Linked DNA regions of Drosophila melanogaster. Changing the gene in region 1 together with any one later gene gives a genetic interaction. Each region holds a gene or a part of one and is shown on either strand. Other genes may lie near its edges. The genes, in order: p115 and Myt1.

Region 1 (10,080 bases):
AAGAGCTCTGTCTCCAGCGACAAGAAGTAAACACCGCGACACGGAACCCACATTCTTCGTTTAAGCAGAAACTGAACGTTGATCACAACCAAATGATCCACGAGAGGAGAAATAAAACTTTGTAACCATTTATGTTAAATAAACGCGATAAATGGTATAGAATGTGGTGTGTTGTGTTCAATTATATTGATCGATTGAGCGAGTGTAAGCTTTAGGATATATATACTAAAGTATCGGGTGTAAATGTTTTCATATTGCATGTGATTTTGGTTATGAGCTAGCCAGCGGCATTTTTTGGTAAGGAAACCATGGAAAACAAACACTATCTTGGAATTCCAACATAAGCCATTATATGGCCAAATCGGAATCGGAAAGAGATGGAAACAGGAAATCGTGAGCGGATATATGTAGCTATCTCTTGCGATTTGCTGCAGTCCCCGCCAAAACAATAATGGTCCCATGTGTAGATTTCTATGTTCCGTATGGAAACCCTTTTAAGCATCTGTAATAAGCCAAGCAACCTGGGTATCTTCTGTCATGAGGTTGCTTGTCTTCTTCTGTCATTAGCCAAGCAACCTGGATCAGTCTTGTGATAATATATCTAGAGAACATACCTTAAATATGAAATCGTCTGTGTATTCTTATGTGCATATTCGTGGTGAGTTCTTCCATTCTGAGCAATACAAAGCGAATATTTCCAGTTGCTAAAAGCTAATAATTAACTATATGTGATTGGAGTACGCTCCAAAGTTGAGCATCCAATTGGTATAATAAATTTCCTTAAGTATTTGCAAACACATCCATCCATGGACTCCTCTCAAGAAACTACTTAAAAAAACAATCATCTTTTCCAACAGGCCGTTTGCGTCTCCTGAAGAAGATACACTCGTGCTTCCATCCACGCTGCAATAAAGTGCGCAAGTGCAAGACTGTGCGTAAATACACCGTGGAAGCCAACGTATCCGCGCTGACTTTGGTCGTTCTCAAGAAGAATCCCTCCCCATGTCGCCTGGGACCCGTGCGTTCCAGCAACATCAGCAAGATCTACTATTTGTGCGAGGAAGATGATGAGGTTATCCCTGTTAAGCTGCAGCGCAGGCACCAGAAGAAGCGCCAGAATGCAACCAAGGAGGCTATCGCCGAATACGTCAAACTGTTGGTCAAGCGCAAGAAGGAGTCCAAGGCCAACCGCGGCCGTTATGTCACCATTCGCAAGCCGAAAAGCTCTGTCTTCAGCGGCAAGAAGTAAATACCGCAGACTCTGAACCCACATTCTTCGTTTAAGCAGAAACTGAATGTTGATCACAATAACCATTTTTGTTAAATAAACGCGATAAATGGTATAGAATGTGGTGTGTTGTGTTCAATTATATTGATCGATTGAGCGAGTGTAAGCTTTAGGATATATATACTAAAGTATCGGGTGTAAATGTTTTCATATTGCATGTGATTTTGGTTATGAGCTAGCCAGCGGCATTTTTTGGTAAGGAAACCATGGAAAACAAACAAACAGTATCTTGGAATTCCAACATAAGCCATTATATGGGCAAATCGGAATCGGAAAGAGATGGAAACAGGAAATCGTGAGCGGATATATGTAGCTATCTATTGCGATTTGCTGCAGTCCCCGCTAAAGCAATAATGGTCCCATGTGTAGATTTCTATGTTCCGTATGGAAACCCTTTTAAGCATCTGTAATAAGCTAAGCAACCTGGGTATCTTCTGTCATGAGGTTGCTTGTCTTCTTCTGTCATTAGCCAAGCAACCTGGATCAGTCTTGTGATAATATATCTAGAGAACATACCTTAAATATGAAATCGTCTGTGTATTCTTATGTGCATATTCGTGGTGAGTTCTTCCATTCTGAGCAATACAAAGCGAATATTTCCAGTTGCTAAAAGCTAATAATTAACTATATGTGATTGGAGTACGCTCCAAAGTTGAGCATCCAATTGGTATAATAAATTTCCTTAAGTATTTGCAAACACATCCATCCATGGACTCCTCTCAAGAAACTACTTAAAAAAACAATCATCTTTTCCAACAGGCCGTTTGCGTCTCCTGAAGAAGATACACTCGTGCTTCCATCCACGCTGCAATAAAGTGCGCAAGTGCAAGACTGTGCGTAAATACACCGTGGAAGCCAACGTATCCGCGCTGACTTTGGTCGTTCTCAAGAAGAATCCCTCCCCATGTCGCCTGGGACCCGTGCGTTCCAGCAACATCAGCAAGATCTACTATTTGTGCGAGGAAGATGATGAGGTCATCCCTGTTAAGCTGCAGCGCAGGCACCAGAAGAAGCGCCAGAATGCAACCAAGGAGGCTATCGCCGAATACGTCAAACTGTTGGTCAAGCGCAAGAAGGAGTCCAAGGCCAACCGCGGCCGTTATGTCACCATTCGCAAGCCGAAAAGCTCTGTCTTCAGCGGCAAGAAGTAAATACCGCAGACTCTGAACCCACATTCTTCGTTTAAGCAGAAACTGAATGTTGATCACAATAACCATTTTTGTTAAATAAACGCGATAAATGGTATAGAATGTGGTGTGTTGTGTTCAATTATGTATATTGAGCGATTGAGCTAATTAAGCTTTAGGATATCTATTCTAATGTATCGGGTGCCAGCGGAAACGCTGAAAAATATTTTTGATTTTTAATTAATTATTTCAATCTATTTTTCCCCCAGGTAAATGCAACAGTTCCGACAAATAGTTCAATTAAAGTAAGGCCATTTATTATTTTCTGAGAAAGGAAGGTCGAAAAACTGTTTAAATGGTTTTTTTTTTACAACATTACGATTTACCCAATCATAGGTATATTAATATTGTTAAACAAATAAACGCAGAACAAACACTATCTTCGAATTCCAACATAAGCCATTATATGGGCAAATCGGAATCGGAAAGAGATGGAAACAGGAAATCGTGAGCCGATATATGTAGCTATCTCTTGCGATTTGCTGCAGTTCCCGCCAAAACAATAATGGATTCGTTTAAATTCTGATCTAGACATATATTCTATACGTAAGTTAAATAAATGTAAAACAAGTAGAATGTGTGTATATAAGATATTTTAACGTTTTTAGGGCAGTCGAGCAATTTCCAGTTGTAACATGTACGTGGCTAGCAACTCATCCGCGTTACGATTTCTACCTGCTGGCGGTGCCACTTGGGATGGGGCTTCCTCCGCCAGCTGCCGGCACGCTTGGAGCTACATTGGAAGTCGGAAGGGTATTAGTCGAGCCCGCTTCTTCGTATCGCGTTAGCTTTGCCTCCTGATCGGCCAGCAGTTCGAGCAAATCTTCTTGATCCTTTTGCATCGCCGCCAGGGAATCTTGCGCCGCATCTGCACTCTGTTTTTCGGCTGATAACTGCTGACGTAGTGTCTCCAGCTCCTTAGTTAGACGAATGTTTTCGGCAAAGTACATGTTGGCCTGGTAGCGAGCGGCATTTAGCTCCTCCTCGTTGGGCGGCGTGGCTTCCGCACCTTGGGCGGACTGCACCTGACCGGTCGAGGCTCCCAGCTGTGCCTTAAGCAGCGTGTTCTGGTCCAAGAGCTGCGCCTTGAGCGACTGCTCCTCACCAAGTTTCTCCTTCAGCTCGGCATTCTCCTGTTCCAGTTCTTTGGAGGATTGCTGCAGTGCTTGGATCTGGGCATCCATGCCGCGGATAATCCCCTTGTACTGGGAAACCAATGCAGAAGCTTCCGAGCTCAACGTGAGTTCGGTCAGTTCAATGCCATCTACATCAAATCCGCTAACCAGCTTGGCAATCAACGCCTCCAGTCCCTTGTACAGCTTGCAATACTCGAAGTCAAGCAGTAGTTCCCCAGCGGATTTGGCACGGATCTGGGCCTGCTTGCATGCCCGACTGTAGGCCTCATGTCGCGACACTTCTGCTAGTTTGCTACAGAAGCTCTCCTGGCCAATTCGCTTGATGATCAGCTGACTGATGTCCTCGCGCTTCTGCCCCGGCAGCGAGTTGTCATTGAACTGGATGCACAGGCCCATTAGGAATGCGCACATGCCCTGGACAAGGAACTCTCGTTCATCGTGCTCGTTGGAGCAAAGTTGAGCGGTCAGGTAGGCCATGGTGCCCTGCGTTTCCAGCAAAGCCTTCACCGCACCTGGACAATGCGCCAGCCACAGGCTGAGTAGCATTAGCAGACCCACCTTGCTTTGCAAACGGTAGCGTTCCTGCTGCATGAGATTAGTGCACTGCTCGAGTAGCGTGATAGGCTTTTGGCCACCAGGAGTGGCCAGCAGTACGCGCAGTAGTTCCTCCTTTAGGGCGACATTCTCTACGAGTGAGTGCATTAGGGCCACAGCGGAGAACCAGTTGGCAAGCGCATCTGTGGAGAAGAGTCCGGTGCAAAGGAGTTGTCCCGTCGAAAGGGCACTCACATCGGACGCACTGGAGGGCAGCAGGGTCTGTACAACCGCCCGCTGGCCATCGGCATTGCGATAAAGAAAGCACTCGAAACAGTAGAGTACGGCGCAACGCAGTGCCAGCAGTTGTTTCTCATTGATCATGGACATAAGAAGGACCACGATGGCAGGTCTGGGTGGACTGCTCGGAGCCATAACTCTTCCCAATTCATCCTGGTTGTCCCGATCGCCGCGCACCACTTCGGCCACTGCATTGATGGTTTCCGTGAGTATATCCGCAGGGACACCACTGCTCATCAGAATCTCGCAAAGAGCATGGAGCAGTCGAGACTTTTGCATGACCCGCTGGCAGGCGGCCACCACCTGCTGTTGATTACTGGGCGTGACCAGTGCCCGCACCACCTGCAGCAGACAATGGAAGTTTGAGACCTTCTGTGGCGACCAGCCAACCTCTTCCGCATCCTGTGAGAGCTCAAACATTGGCGACAATCGCTGGATATAGCTGCCCTCCTTAAAGAACTGCTGATTACTGGAGTTGTTCTTGAGAAGATTCAATAGCAGAATTAGGCAATCCTCCACAACAATTCCGCCATCCGAACAGCCCTCCTCACGGACAATTTCAAAAAGGCGGTCAAAGGCATTCTCAAAGGCCACAATCTTTTGGATGTTTGAGTTGCCCTTGGTCAGTTCGATAAGCAGCAGAAGGACATCGTTGCGAATCACTTCGCGGCTGTCCGTCAGCAGATCCATCAGCTTGGAAACGCCCATCGGACTGACCAGAATCAAATCCTGCAGCTCCCGCGTCTTGTTCGAAATGAGGGACGTAATCAGTTGGATGGCAGCGCGACGCACTCGAAAATCGTATTCGTCCAGATAGCCCATTACCAGGGTTACATGCTCCGGTGTCTTGATGAACATCTCCGTGAACTGCTCGCCCACATTCACCGAAACGGTGGGATTATCAGCCTCCTCGTCGAACTCCTCGCTAGTAACCACGTTGCACAGTGTGTCCAGCGCATAGCTGATGATCTCTGCATCCTGTCCGTCGTTCTGGAGCACCTGGACCAGCGGAGGCATGCCCTGTGCGCCCACCTCGATGCGGTACTTGCGGGACAGGGCTTTTAGCGCTCGGCAGGCATCCCGTCGATCCTCCAGGAGCGTTGAGGAGTAGACACGGTCCACCAGCTTCTCCACCGTCTCGGCGGCACTCGGCTGCTGACCCGGCTCCGTGCTGCCCAGCACCGTTTTGATGCCACTCTTCAGGAACTCCATGCGAGTGTGTGTTTACGGTCTATTCTGGGTTTTTTCGCATTCAACAAGACACGTCAATTCATGAAAACAATTGACGGGCGGCTTAGCGATGGCTAAAGTCCGATAGACGCCCACTTATCGATAAGCGGCTTGTCTTTAAATATATTAAATATATTTTTAGAATTACAATTTACCATATTTGACCATGTTTGTGTAATTACCTATATTTACACTTTTTTGATAATCTAAAACTTTTTTTTGAATTACATAAAATATTGCTACTTTCTAGCTGACGTCGGGACTTAAGCTGAGTGGCATCCCTGTCGGCGATAGTCTTACTGCCAAAATTTTATTAAACTAAAAACGACTCGACAGCCCTGGTGCTATCGATGCTATAAGTAAGTTGAAAACAAAACTAATTTAGCAAATTTGTGTTTAAAACTAAACGAGAGAATCCCAAAAAATACAATATAAAGCGTTCCACACACGCGGCGTAAGAAGTTCTCAAAAATATCAACACAGTTATCACGACGCTGGGAGAAATCACTCGTTTTTATTACGTAATGCGGCAAAATGTCAACCCATAACATAACAATCCCCACATCAATTTGTGTAAATCATATGTAAATCTCGCCATCTCCTGTGCTTGTCTTGCAGACCTATGGGCAGTGGGATTGTGGTTCAATTGGCTCGAAAGTACGGCGCAGTGATATTCTTTCCCACTGTTGCAGTCGGATCGATTTACGCAGATTGGTCGCACACCCGCCAGTGGAAACGCCAGCAGCTCCAGTTGGCACACCGAGCCCAGCTGAAGGATCAGCGCTAAGAGGATACACAAATATACACCATGGTCTTGGGACTGGATAAGCGAGCACTGTGGGGCGCGTTGCCCCTGCTGGGATTTGCCATTGGCCACTTCCTGGACAAGAAGGAAACGGAACGTATGACCATGTTCCGGGACAAGAGTGCCCTATACGGCCGTCCCGCCGGCAGCGAGGGTAAGGCGCCATCCTGGTAGGCCTGCCCAACATCGCCATCCCAAAATATTATTTTTTTTCCCCCAATTCACTGTTATTCAATAAACCGGAGAAATGTGAAATACGCCTGTCGTCTAGTTTACCTGCATGGCCAGCGGACGAGATTTGCGGTCGGGAACGTGATTTATTTGTGAAGGATTGCGTACCATTGTTTGTTTTACTCAGGAAAAACATAAAAACCTCAACACACGTCTAACGATAAGCCGAAAACCAATGAAAAATCCAAGGAGATAACTCGTTTTTCGAAGGATTTTACCTGGGCATCGCTGCACGATATGCGAGTTCTGCTTAGTTCGGATCAGGGGCGTAGGCTGGATATTTTAGAAGAGCATTGGTGTATTCTACCAAAACTCTTATTATTTATTGTAGAACTTCTTGAGCATGTCACATAAATCACTTGAAATGTGGTAACCGAGAGTAGTCTTTTTAAATGAGTTTCGTTAAATGGCATTGAATTATCTAATACATGTGAATCGAGATTTTTAAGAATTAATAGAAAAAAAAAACTTTTATAAGCATGAGCCCCCTAAAAACTTTCATTTGCACGACCATGCCTATATGTACTATGTAACTGCTTCCAGTAAAAACCGTTAGACAGAATGGATAATCGCTCACTTCAAATATGAAATATGAAATCCGATAAGGACATTTCCACTTTAACAAACAAGGCAGCAAATTGAAATGCCAATGGAACAAAACTAATTTATTTTTATGGCTCAGGGCTAGGGGTTTGTACTCGGTTTTGGATTCCGGTTTAAGATCGGTTTTGGGCTCGAGTTCCAAAATTGAGCGTGATGAATCGCTGGAATTGTGTTCTTGGGCGTGCTGCCCCTCTCTAGACCATTGTTTCCAATGGTCAGTAGTTTGTACACAGGCGCAGTGGGATCAAATGGAACGGATTTTCCAGATTTTCGCCTTTCAAGGGCTTTCTCTCTCTCACAGCGGGGGAGAGCGTGAGCGAGAGGGTGAGATGCCAGAGATTTGCAAGTGGATACCGTTGAACTGTGGTTGGGAGCGAGAGGGTAATAGCACGATCTTTGTTCCTGGAAGGAAACGAGAGATCCAGACGTGCAACAATAACATAACAGTGCTGGTGTCTCTCGGCGGGAAAATAGCCAAATTGGGCATTAGCATGCAGGTGCGAAAGGGTTTTATGGAGAGGTTATTTATATGAAGGTCAGGTTGAAATGACTGCTATCAATTTTAATCGGTAGTTGTCTTGTATATTGGTTTTTAAATAGTTTTGTATTTTAATCCATATTACAATTTCTTAATTTAATGATGAAATAGCTATTTGTTTATGTATGTAATTATATCATTAGATTGCATATTTGCAAAATGTATTTTGTAAAAATTACAAATCTAGCTTGTTTTTAGAATATTCATTCTTCCGCCCTATTTAGCGGGGTAGCGGCACTACTTAAACCTCTCTCTCGCGCACTTGTTGTTGCTCTCTCTCCCGTTCTTGCAGGTAGCAATGAGAATTCCAGAAATCCTGCATCCCAAAAACCAGTCTCAAATCGTGTTTGGGTTTTGTAGCAAGCGGATCATTTGTAATCGGCGGCGGAATACCCAAAATACCCAAAGAGTAAAAAAAAGACTTAAGGCAAAATGAGCGGAGAGGAATCTGCCGGCATGGACTTTTCGCAAAAGACCCTGCAGGATTACGAGGTTTTGGCCGTGATGGGGAATGGATCCTTCGGCACCTGCTACAAGGTGCGCGACAAAAGCACCGGTGAATTGTTCGCCTGGAAGGGAATGAACTACGATGAACTGGACGAGGCCAAGTGCGACGCTTTGGTTTCGGAAATCAGTGTTCTGCGGCAGCTCCAGCATCCTAACATTGTGCAATACTACCATCATCTGGTGAACCGAGAGGCCAAGTCGGTGTACATTGTTATGGAGTGCTGTGCCGGCGGCGATCTCGCCCAGATTGTCCAGCGAGCGAGATCCCAGAGGCAGCGGTTTGAGGAGCCCTACATCTGGCGGGTGCTCTTCCAACTTTGCCGGGCGCTTCAGGTGTGCCACAACAAAATCCCCAACGGAACCATCTTGCATCGCGATATCAAGCCAGCAAATATTTTCCTGGATGCGGCCGGGAATGCCAAACTGGGAGATTTCGGTCTGGCCAGAATGCTGCGACGAGATCAGAGCTTTGCCGCCTCCTTTGTGGGCACTCCGCACTACATGAGTCCGGAGTTGGTGAAGGGCAGGAAATACGATCGGAAGAGCGATGTCTGGGCCGTTGGTTGTTTGGTATACGAGATGTGTGCCCTAAGACCGCCGTTTCGCGGCAGAGCCTTTGACCAGTTGTCCGAGAAGATCGCCCAGGGTGAGTTCAGTCGGATTCCGGCAATCTATAGTACTGATCTGCAGGAGATCATCGCCTTCATGCTGGCAGTGGATCATGAACAGCGTCCTGGCATCGAGGTTATCATTCGGCATCCTCTGGTGGTGCGTAATATTAGCGAGTTGGATGGCAAGTTCCCAATTCTAGTTGATTCTGGAGAGGATTTCTACACACTGCCTTCGGGTGCCAGGCTTTTCGAGGACGAAGAGGAAGATGGAGTTCATCCAGAGCTATCGAGCACCATGTTTACGGAACAGTACAGCTTCAATGAAGGCTATGGGCAAAGGAGACTCAGCGTTACTGGTGTGTTTACTCCAGATTTGCGAAGTGAACTCTTCTACTCCGCCAAGCGCAAAATCTTTCCTGCCAAGAAACTACAGCTGTCGGATCCCTCTCTTTATGAAAGTATAAGGAGAGAGGAGCGAGCGGAGGAGAGGCAGGTGGAACTGGCGGAAGAGCGGCGCCGTAAAAAGGATCAGGAGCAGCAGAAAAGGGATCAGGAGCTTCTAAAGGAGGCCCCTAGCAGTCCTCGTGCTCTTACCCAAAACATATTCGATGAAGTACTAAAGACCCGTCTCCACGCCATTCGTGCCCAAGAATCCCTGTTGCAGCAGAAGCTCGAAGAGCTGCAGACCCGGGAGCAGGAGTTACAGCTGGCCGAACAGCGCGTGCAAACGCTGGAGCGGCAGATGCAGGAAAAACTTCTTCAGCAGGAGAAACACACTTGTAGTTGCAGACAGCCGATAGCTCCGCCCATTCCTCCTAGGAAGCCAGCGAAATCGCACCATGATGACACCTACTGCACTATCGAACTCAACGAGACGTCGCCCACGGTGGCTAAACTCAATTTAGCCACACTTCCGGCACCAAAATCGCTAAATACTCTGCGTAAGGTTACCTTCAAGTCGCCCCAAAAGTTTGTTACCTATGGTATCGAGAATATGCCCCCACCGGCGGTTAAACCGGCAGTGAATCCTCCGCCCACTGGCGTTCCCATGCAAATGAGCGTATCCAGCAATGATTCCGGTGACAGCCAGGCCTCCTCCACCCGCAGGAA
Region 2 (9,369 bases), on another chromosome or scaffold:
TCTCTTTAAGAACATATACATATATATAGTATAAATATTAATCATACAATGTGGATTTGAGAAAAAACCCGACTAATCCGTGGACTTCTTATCATTCTTTGTAGTGACCGCAGTCCATGCCAATCGCGTGACCACAGAGCAGAACCAACGAATCGCAGATCTTCCAGCGAAGAAGGAAAGCAGAATATGGTGCAGGATCAGGGGGAGACGACAGGCCTGCCAGAGGCGCTGCTGAAGATCGCCAAGCGGGAGCTGCGCGAGGATCGATGCACGCGGGAGCAGTCGCTGGAGCAGCTGCGCAACTGGGTGGCCAAGAACGAGGATCTGCAGAATGTGCGATGCGACGATACCTTCCTGCTGCGCTTCCTGCGCGCCAAGAAGTTCAGTGTGCCGATGGCCGAGCAGACGCTGCTCAAGTACCTGAACATCAGGAGGACGTTCCCGCACATGAGCACCCAGCTGGACTATCTGGAGCCGCGTCTCGGCGACCTCATCGATCAGGGATACATATTTGCGGTGCCACAGCGTGACAAGCACGGTCGCCGCGTGGTGGTCATCAATGCCAAGGGGCTAAATCCGAAGATCCACACAAGCTGCGACCAGGCCAAGGCGCACTTCCTCACCTACGAGTGCTTGATGGAGGATCAGGAAACACAGATCACTGGGCTAACGCATGTGGGCGACTTCGCCGGCGTGACCACGGCGCATGTGACCAACTGGAATCCCACGGAGTTTGCCCGCATCTTCAAGTGGGGTGAGCAATCGCTGCCCATGCGTCACAAGGAGATCCACCTGATCAATGTACCATCCACACTCAAGTGGCTTATTGATTTCGTGAAGAACCGCGTCAGTTCCAAGATGAAGAACCGCCTGATCATCTACGGCAGCGAGAAGGAGCTGATGAAGAGCGTGGACCAGGGCTGTCTGCCGCTGGAAATGGGTGGCAAGGTGCCCATGCGCGAGATGATCGAGCTGTGGAAGCAGGAGCTGGCGACCAAGCGCGACCTGATTCTCGGTCTGGACAAGAGCATACTGCGCTCCGATCGCGGCATCCAGCGGCGCAGCAGCTTCAATGCCGGAAAGGCCTCCACCGGCGGACCCAACTTCGTTTCACAAATCGAGTCCATCGAGGGTAGCTTTCGGAAACTGGAGTTCGACTAACCGATCGCCAGTTGTAGTTTAAGTTTATAGTCCTTAGTCTTAGGCAACATCCAATCAATTAACCCAATGCGCAACGCTTCGCCGGTCCCCCGATCCTGGCCAGCGCCCGATCCTGGGGATCCCTGATTCGCTTATCGGTGGCAACCGCTTTACTCATCCTGCGCTTCTTTGTATACTGTGTTTGTGTTTGGCGTACAATAAACGAGAGGAATAATTTGGAATCATCTCTTTGTTGCTTCACTTGGACGTTTGGTGGCTCGCGTAGTGCGGCCAGTGCCTCAGTTCCCGCTGCAGTGCGTCCGTATAGCTGCCCAACACGAAGAGTTGGTAAATTGGCTGCAGAATCCGACGCTTTAAAGACTCAAGGATCAGAGCCTGGGCGGCCATCAACTGGCAATCGATGGGTGGTCTGCCGCTGAAGTTACCCACAAAGGCCATCACCAACGAGTCTATTCCATTTAGATCCCTTGGATACTGGCTCCGATAGTGCCATCCTTGTGCCTCGAAAACCTGACAATCACCGGCGACCAGAAAGTTGTAGGGCAGCTCCCCCACATGCGACCTCTAAGGAGATGAATGAATTTAGCTTTGATTACAATGTACTACACATACTTATGTCCGATTAACTCACTTCCAGCTTATGCAATACATCCGGGCAATCATCGTGGCATTCATTGCTTCCAGTGTGGGTAAAAATCACTGTGCCGACACCGATCGGATCGAAAAGAGTTCCCCGACCCTGAAGTTCCATATCCGACCATATGCCATGACCCACGATACTGAGTCGATAGCCAAAGTCCGGCGTTTGGGCTGCAAGCAGTGCAAAGTGATTCAGTCATTAAGTGGCTTTGTCCACCTATAAAGGCGAATTTAGAAAAATTTAACAATGAGTCATATGCATGCATACGAAAAATAAAACGAATCTTAAGTTAAACAAAAAAAAAAAATGAGGGATGGCTTTAAAATGTTTTACTATACAAATTTAATGCCAGATACATTATATTATGAGTATAGATCGATTTTTCTTTGAATACTTTCGCCTGCCCATCAAAACGCACATGAGCAGCTTATCATAACTCACAGCTAATTGAGATTTATTTATTATGCATATATGTAACAATAACGATTTGAGCACGTACTCGTGCACGTCCACCATCAGCGGGCAAACTCACTTTGTCTCCAGAGCAAATAGGCGGCCAGTGCCAAGGCGGATGCACACATGACCAGCAGTCCCACCGAGCGCCAATTGAAGCAGTCTTCGTGGAGCGTCGGGTTCCTTCGGCAATTCGAAGGCGTCGTGGAGGAGGCTGAGACTGAGGCTGTGAGGGATGAGGACGTCTTGATGGACCGCTGAGCAGCTGCCAGCAAGGGAGTGGATTCGCTTGCAACGCCTTCCTTGTCCACTCGAATGTGTATATCTTGGCTGGAACCCAGGCTGCCGTACGACGACTGAGAGACGGCGGCCGGCGAGGGACTACGACGTGCTATCGTAGCGAAATATAGAGCAAACAACAAATTATGGAGTTTAGCCAAGATAAAGGCGACCAGATGATTAGTCAAGTGGCACAGTTTGTCCAGGCCACTCTGATCTTGGTGGGCATAGTATTTGCTGATGGCACGCAGACTGTAGGCGCTCACAAAGATCGGCATCTTGCCACTAACTGAGCTGGGATATCCAGCCGAGATGCACGCATTCGTATATCTCACCCATTTAACTATATCTTATCAAGACAAGGGCTTATCTATCGTCGGACTTACCCACTCGCACGGCTATGTGGCTGGAGTCCATGGCTAGACCGCTCTGGCTGCAGCCTCGGCATCAAGGTGGTGCTGTGAGTGGGTCAGCTCCTTACCGGATCGCACTGGAACACACCACTCGATCGATCGGAGTCGCCGCTGTCAACCACTGCCAGCAGAATGCACAAAACGACTGAGACGAGAACAAGGGAGAGAACCAGCCCGCATGAAGCACAACATTTCCATTAAATCATCAGCTACGAATTTCGAAGGGGTCTCTTATCGCACTCACTCTTAGACTCTCTTAGCTATGGAGTAACTTTAAAGCCGGGAGTAACATTCGCATCGCGTTTACTTGACTTTCGTTTGCTGATATCTTCAACTAGACTCTAATAACAATCATAAATGGGTTTCGCTTTATACACAGAGGTTGGCTTTGCTTAATTTACAGTGCAGAGGCTGCTCCTCCCTTAAGACTAACTTGGGCTTGGGGACCGTAATAAGTTATGAGCATGCTAGCCAGTGCAAGTGGCAGCCACGGGAACACTGGACATGGACACTGGTTTATGGGAACATTTAAAAGTTTCACGAAAGACAATACATTGTGTTAAAATCGTTCGAAAATCTAAAAGAAATGCATTCGCCTATGTGCCTAAACTTAACTTATTAGGTATTACGCGTCCGCGAGACAGGGGACAGGCCTAATCCAGCACCTGGACATTTCAGAGCTCCTGCAAATCCCTTACTTGTAGGACCTCCAAATCTGCCAGGCGCACAGGGCAGCCGAGAGCAAGGATACGCTACGGTGCAAGTATTTGGTTTTTGAGTTGGGCGAGTAGCCCAAAATCACAGGCGAGGAGACATCTGTCAGTGGCAGTTTCTCCAACACGGTGTCATTATTTTCCACCTGAAAAACACAACCAAAGTGAGCTTCTCAATCTTGGATATCTAGAACTTTTCCTTTCATACCTGATATTGACAACATGGATCGTAGTTCCAGGAAACCGTGTACAGTCCTGTGCAAAAAATCGAGAGTGCACAAGCGGGAGCTGCAATGATGGGGCGATCCCGCCACAGCAAGCTGGCCACCAGGGAAACCACTCCAGTGGCCACCGCCGTCTTGTGCAGGCAATTGCCCACCCAAATCCAACGACCTGTGGAGATATGAAATTAATACTGTGCTTTAAAAGGAAGCACTTCCAAGTGCTTACCAGTTTCGTCGCCCAGCCGAGGCGGCTCTATAACGATGAAGTCCAACTTGGCTTCCAGCGCCTTGTCCAGCTCAGCCTCGAATCTTTCATGGGCATTGGAGCTGTCGTAGACCTCGCGGATGACATGGAAAGTGGGCACCTTACTCGTGCTGCACAATTAGAACAACAATACACGAATCAATCATGGTTATCTTGATGTGGAACTCAAGGTTAAGGTCAAGATCAAGCGCTCAGAACAACCGAAGCAGAGAAGCCATTGTGCAGACGAGATAAATGAAGAAGCCGCCTAGTAAATTGCATAACCAGGGCAGGTGCACTTGGGAACTGGGATTTGGCTGCACCCAGGTGGAATGTGTTGCGTAATCCCACTGCATTCACGTAACTAGGCGCCGTATTTACCTTTCTATATTTCTGCTAACCATTTTGCTAATAAATTTGTTGTTTTCTATGTTGTTCATAAACTCAGTGCGGCCGCAGCTGGACCGTTAAAATATACCAGGTACCTAAGGGCATAATACTGCAAATAGCAATCTTCCAAAAAAATACCGCAGTTGGGCGGCACTTTTGAATTATATCGTATTCGCAAATACCATTCTCCTTTAAAGAGCGGCCTATATATAAAGGCTTAATTCCACTATTTAGCAATTTATTTGCTTATTTACCTATATTCATAAAGACAATTAGATTAGATTAAAGTTTTTAAAAATATTTCAGTATTTCTATTGTTCTTCCAACTACTCAACTCTCCCATCTCTATTTACGATAATTGAGGCATTTAAGAGGCAAATCATGTAAAATCTGTATACGATTATAGGAGCTTAACTTAATTGAAATCAATAATTATACTCCCAATAAAGATCAAAAATATAAGATACATGTGTTAAATGAATTAGCCGGCTCTTATTGTCCCAAGCGAAGAAGCCAGGATTTCGCCGGCTGTCCGATATGGTCACACTCGCCCACTCATAAGAAAAGACACCCAAAATTGAAAATGGAAAAGCATCATCGCCTGCCCCTCCCGGAATTGCACGACGACAAACACAGACACAAACAGTGCAATGGGGAGAACAGCAATCGCTTCCGGCCGCCCAAGTACAAGACGCGTGGCTACGTCGCCGTGGACAACAACAATCTGAACCGAAGCCAATCGCTGGGCTCCTGTAGCACCAACAGTTCCCAGATCGCGCACGCGATCTCCTTCCGGGACGCCGGATGTTCGGATTCCAGTACGCTGCCCTCGTCACCAGTCCAGGCCGAGCTGAGCACCCTCTCCCTGTCACACTTCGAGCAGTGCTTCGAAAGGCTGGCCAAACTGGGCGAAGGATCCTTCGGCGAGGTATTCCAGGTGCGCGATCGCTCCGACGGCCAGTTATATGCCGTCAAGATCTCCAAGCAACTGTTCCGCGGCGAACAGTACCGCGCAGAGCGGCTGGAAGAGGTGCGGCGCTACGAGGAGTTCTCCGGCCATGAGAACTGCATCCGGTTCATCCGCGCCTGGGAGCAGTACGACCGACTGTACATGCAAATGGAGCTGTGCCGCGAAAGTCTGGAGCAGTACTTGCTGCGCTGCCAAAGGATACCGGAGGAGCGCATCTGGCACATCCTGCTGGATCTGCTGCGGGGTCTCAAGTCGCTGCACGACCGGAATCTCATCCATCTGGACATTAAACTGGACAACGTTCTGATCGGCGAGGACGACGAGACGTGCAAGCTGGCAGACTTTGGACTGGTCATCGATGTGGACAGGGCCAACAGCCATCACGCCACGGAGGGAGATTCGAGGTATATGGCTCCAGAGATCCTGCAGGGTCACTTCTCCAAGGCTGCGGACATCTTCAGTCTGGGCATTGCCATGCTAGAGCTGGCATGCTACATGGATCTTCCTTCCAACGGCCCACTGTGGCACGAACTGAGGCACGGCATTCTGCCCGAGGAGTTCATAAACAGTGAGTTGCGAACTAGCTGCCTACTTAAATGGCAGGTTGCTAAAGCCTTTCTCTTCGCACAGAAATATCACTGGAGCTGCAGTCGGTAATTAAGTCCATGATGAAGCCCGATCCTGCGCAGAGGCCGACGGCCGAGCAGCTACTCTCACATCCCAAGCTGCAGTACCTGCAAAAGAAGCGCAAGTCGCTGATGAACTTCAGCATGCTGGTAAGCATTCCCAAGCACATCTTTGAGAATCAATCTTAACCCTTGACAACTTGCAGTCGCGTAGTTTTAGGCGATCTCGCCGCGCCGTTTGGGGAAGAATGTGCAATTGGAAAACAGCCGCCTTTCGTTACCTTCTATACTTCCTGGAGGTCCTGCATCTATGCAAGCCCATAACGGCCTCACAGCCCAATATTAACATAGTGCCCTCCTCGCCTTCGTCAAAGGGAGTGCCTCTGGTGCCTCAGGTGGAGTTCCAGCTGGTAGGATCCACACCCATTGCCAATCGTGACTGCTATGCCTCCGACTTCCTTTCCGGCGAGGACCCGCTGGACCTCTCCAATCAGGGTAGCCCCAACGTAATAAATTCCACGCCATTGAACACAAACCAAGGCAAATCCCGTCTGGATTTGCTAAAGAATAAGTAAGTACCCTTAATCGATTAGCTCATGGACTAGCGCACATAACCCATCCGCTTTCAGTGTTGATTCAATGGGCAGGTACGTTCATGTACACGATTTCGAGAGTCCGTGTTCCGCCCTATCTTCCGCCAAGGTCCTGGACACCTCATCGTTCCGACGCAAAAAGCTCTTCGTCCTGGAATATGACGACGAGTGAGTGAGTACGGTGCCAGCGAGCAACGTAAACCGAATGAATTTATGATAAACCCAATATATATCAGTTACGAAACGAATACCAGATACATATGGCAACAGAATATATCGTTAATTGTATTTTGATTAGTTCTAGACCGTAGTGTTGTACGAAGTTCCCTAGATATAGTCTTACGATTGTGTAATGTTAATGCTTCTTTAGAAGAACTTGTTGAACTTGAACATATAATCATGTGATATATATACGAAAAGCGATTTGAAAAGTTTAAAAATAAAAAACTTATTGAAATTGAAACCTGCACTGAATGCCATCTATGACATATGATAACAACAAATTAAAGGTAAAAACCAAGAAACGTATAACTATAAAAATTTTTTTTAAAACATTTTTGAATTCTAACGTACCTTTCGTTTCGGGGAAAAGTATTTTGCCCATCTGGTAACACTGGCCGCTCGCACATGTTGAAAACGTAAACAAAAACGAGTAGCACAATTTTTGAAAATGACCAGGAAAAAGGCTCCTAAGAAAAAAACAGAGGTTGTATTCGACAACAAGAAACGCATGTAAGTAAGGAGACACAGAATCCCCGGAGGATACTAATGCCCACATCCCAATCCCGCAGAGAGTTTCTCAGTGGCTTCCGGAAAAGAAAGAATGAGCGACGATCGCGTGCAAAGGCGGATCTGGAAAGAAACCTTAAGAACGAGCGCAAGCGCATACGGCAGGAGGTAAAGGATGGCTTTAACCACCTGAAGAAATCCTTCGAACCGCTGCGCGAGCTCACCGAGGAGGACAAGGCCGAGGAGGCGGAGCAGCAGCAGGAGGAGACCTACGAAGATGATGAAGTGCAGGTGAAGATCGTGGAGCTGACCACCAACGATCTGGCCGCCAAGCGCAATATGTTGGGTGCCAACACGGCAGAGGAAAGCGAACCGGAGGAGCAGGCTGACCAGAGCGAGGAGGACGAAGCCGACCAGGCCAATAGGATACCCGGCATGGATTTCGATCCCAACGCCCGCAAACGTAAACCCAAGCCGGAGGACGAAGAGGAGCCGAAGGCCACAAAGTCCAACAACTCCACGCTGCCGGACATCAAGAGCAAAAAGGATCTCGACCGCCTGATGAAGACCAAAACGCTGAAGAAAATGCACCAGAGCAAACTGTTCAAGCAGAAGGAGCGCCTGGACAAGAAGAACAACCAGAAGAAGGCCAAGCGGGACCGCAACAACACCATCAAGAGCGTTCCCAAGCATCAGCGCAAGCAGCTCAAGTACGGAAAGGCCAACCAGACCAAATACCGAAAGGGTCGGATGGTCAACAAAAAGGAGCTGCGGCGCAAACGGAATGCCGACTAAATTTAGCTTTTAGCATAGTTTGTTTTACGGTTTATTTACTATTACTCTAGTTAATCAAATAAACTGTATAATTCCTGGCTTGTACAATAATTTTGCTAACACGCCGATGCGTTCGATCTTTTTTTTTACCGCTCTCCGTCGTATTCATCATGGTACATATTACATCCAACATACTTTATTTTTTTTGGGTTATTAACATTGGCAATATCGCTGCTCGCCGCCGTTCGGTTATGCTCTATAAATAAAAGGGGGGCGCCGCTAAAATTATAATAAAATTTTCATGGGTCCTAAATCTAGTCTCGAAATCTATGTACAAAGTTTGCTTGCATGCTGGTTAGGCATAGGTTCTTAACGTATTATTGGGTTGCTTTATTTCCATTCTGCGCAGTTGTGCAGCCTGTTTAGTGTTTGCCTTTACGGGGTTAACATTTTTTAAAAATGAAACATTAGAGCGGTAACCTTGTTGTCTGATTATTGGCGTCATTAAAGCGGTATCGCCAGCACGCGATTGATGCAAGGATACCGATTCAATGAAATAAAAACGAATTCAGCCAAACACAATCTTTCATTTCTTTTTTTTTATCGTACTTAATGATAGCCTTAGTTTCTAATGGGACTGTGTGCTTCGGTGAAGGTTGGGGATGATTTTGGGAGGCAACAATTATGTTCTAGCTTATAGCTTACAGTCCTACGCCTACTCCTATTTCTAATATGTTCATCATCAGCAGTTAAAAAACGTTTACAAAACTCATGCGAAATTGAAATCCAATAACAAATGCACACGCCGCAGTCGCATCGGCGTCATCTCTTTCTCCTGACCCTCGCCTATCCGCATCCAGTTAGGTTTGCTGCTGCTGCTGCGCCGACGGTTGTCGCCGACTGAAGCCACCGCCGGCGGACAGATGTCGTTGCAGGGCTCGCTGCTGCTGGAACTTGGCGCTGCCTGGTCCTCCGAAGCGGTTGAACTTGAACTTGTTGCGCTGCTGGAAGTTCTGGCGATAGTTCTGATTGTAGAATCGCGGAAATCCTCCACCTCCGCCGTTCTTGTTCCAGCGCTTCTGGCCCTCGTACTCCTGGAATGGATTGTACCCGGGCGTGCTGTTGCTGGCATTGTTTCCCTTAGCCGAACCGGACTTCAC

The links.
Region 2: of p115 (region 1) and Myt1, changing one suppresses a phenotype caused by changing the other (phenotypic suppression), as found in Drosophila melanogaster (one study listed by BioGRID).

The regions. Positions count from the first base shown.
Region 1 is NC_004354.4:7,889,704-7,899,783, reverse strand, and holds p115 (p115), read right to left. Parts: upstream 5,754-10,080; 5' UTR 5,658-5,753; coding exon 3,147-5,657; 3' UTR 2,793-3,146; downstream 1-2,792. Other genes in the region: RpS6 (ribosomal protein S6), read left to right, coding at 1-30; CG45089 (uncharacterized protein), read left to right, coding at 6,298-6,462; ND-MNLL (NADH dehydrogenase (ubiquinone) MNLL subunit), read left to right, coding at 6,484-6,654; Nek2, read left to right, coding at 8,285-10,080. UniProt on the Drosophila melanogaster protein: Essential for maintaining the architecture of the Golgi stacks and for normal organization of the transitional endoplasmic reticulum (tER). Required for both the formation of the Golgi stacks and the maintenance of the individual cisternae.
Region 2 is NT_037436.4:5,775,273-5,784,641, reverse strand, and holds Myt1 (Myt1), read left to right. Parts: upstream 1-5,050; 5' UTR 5,051-5,100; coding exon 5,101-6,055; intron 6,056-6,117; coding exon 6,118-6,263; intron 6,264-6,319; coding exon 6,320-6,684; intron 6,685-6,742; coding exon 6,743-6,878; 3' UTR 6,879-7,166; downstream 7,167-9,369. Other genes in the region: Cralbp (cellular retinaldehyde binding protein), read left to right, coding at 187-1,161; PGRP-LD (peptidoglycan recognition protein LD), read right to left, coding at 1,399-1,725, 1,793-1,971, 2,334-2,811; Pmi, read right to left, coding at 3,061-3,091, 3,645-3,805, 3,868-4,052, 4,110-4,258, 4,509-4,531; vito (viriato), read left to right, coding at 7,377-7,438, 7,498-8,230; scny (scrawny), read right to left, coding at 9,070-9,369. UniProt on the Drosophila melanogaster protein: Acts as a negative regulator of entry into mitosis (G2 to M transition) by phosphorylation of Cdk1 specifically when Cdk1 is complexed to cyclins. Mediates phosphorylation of Cdk1 predominantly on 'Thr-14'. Also involved in Golgi fragmentation.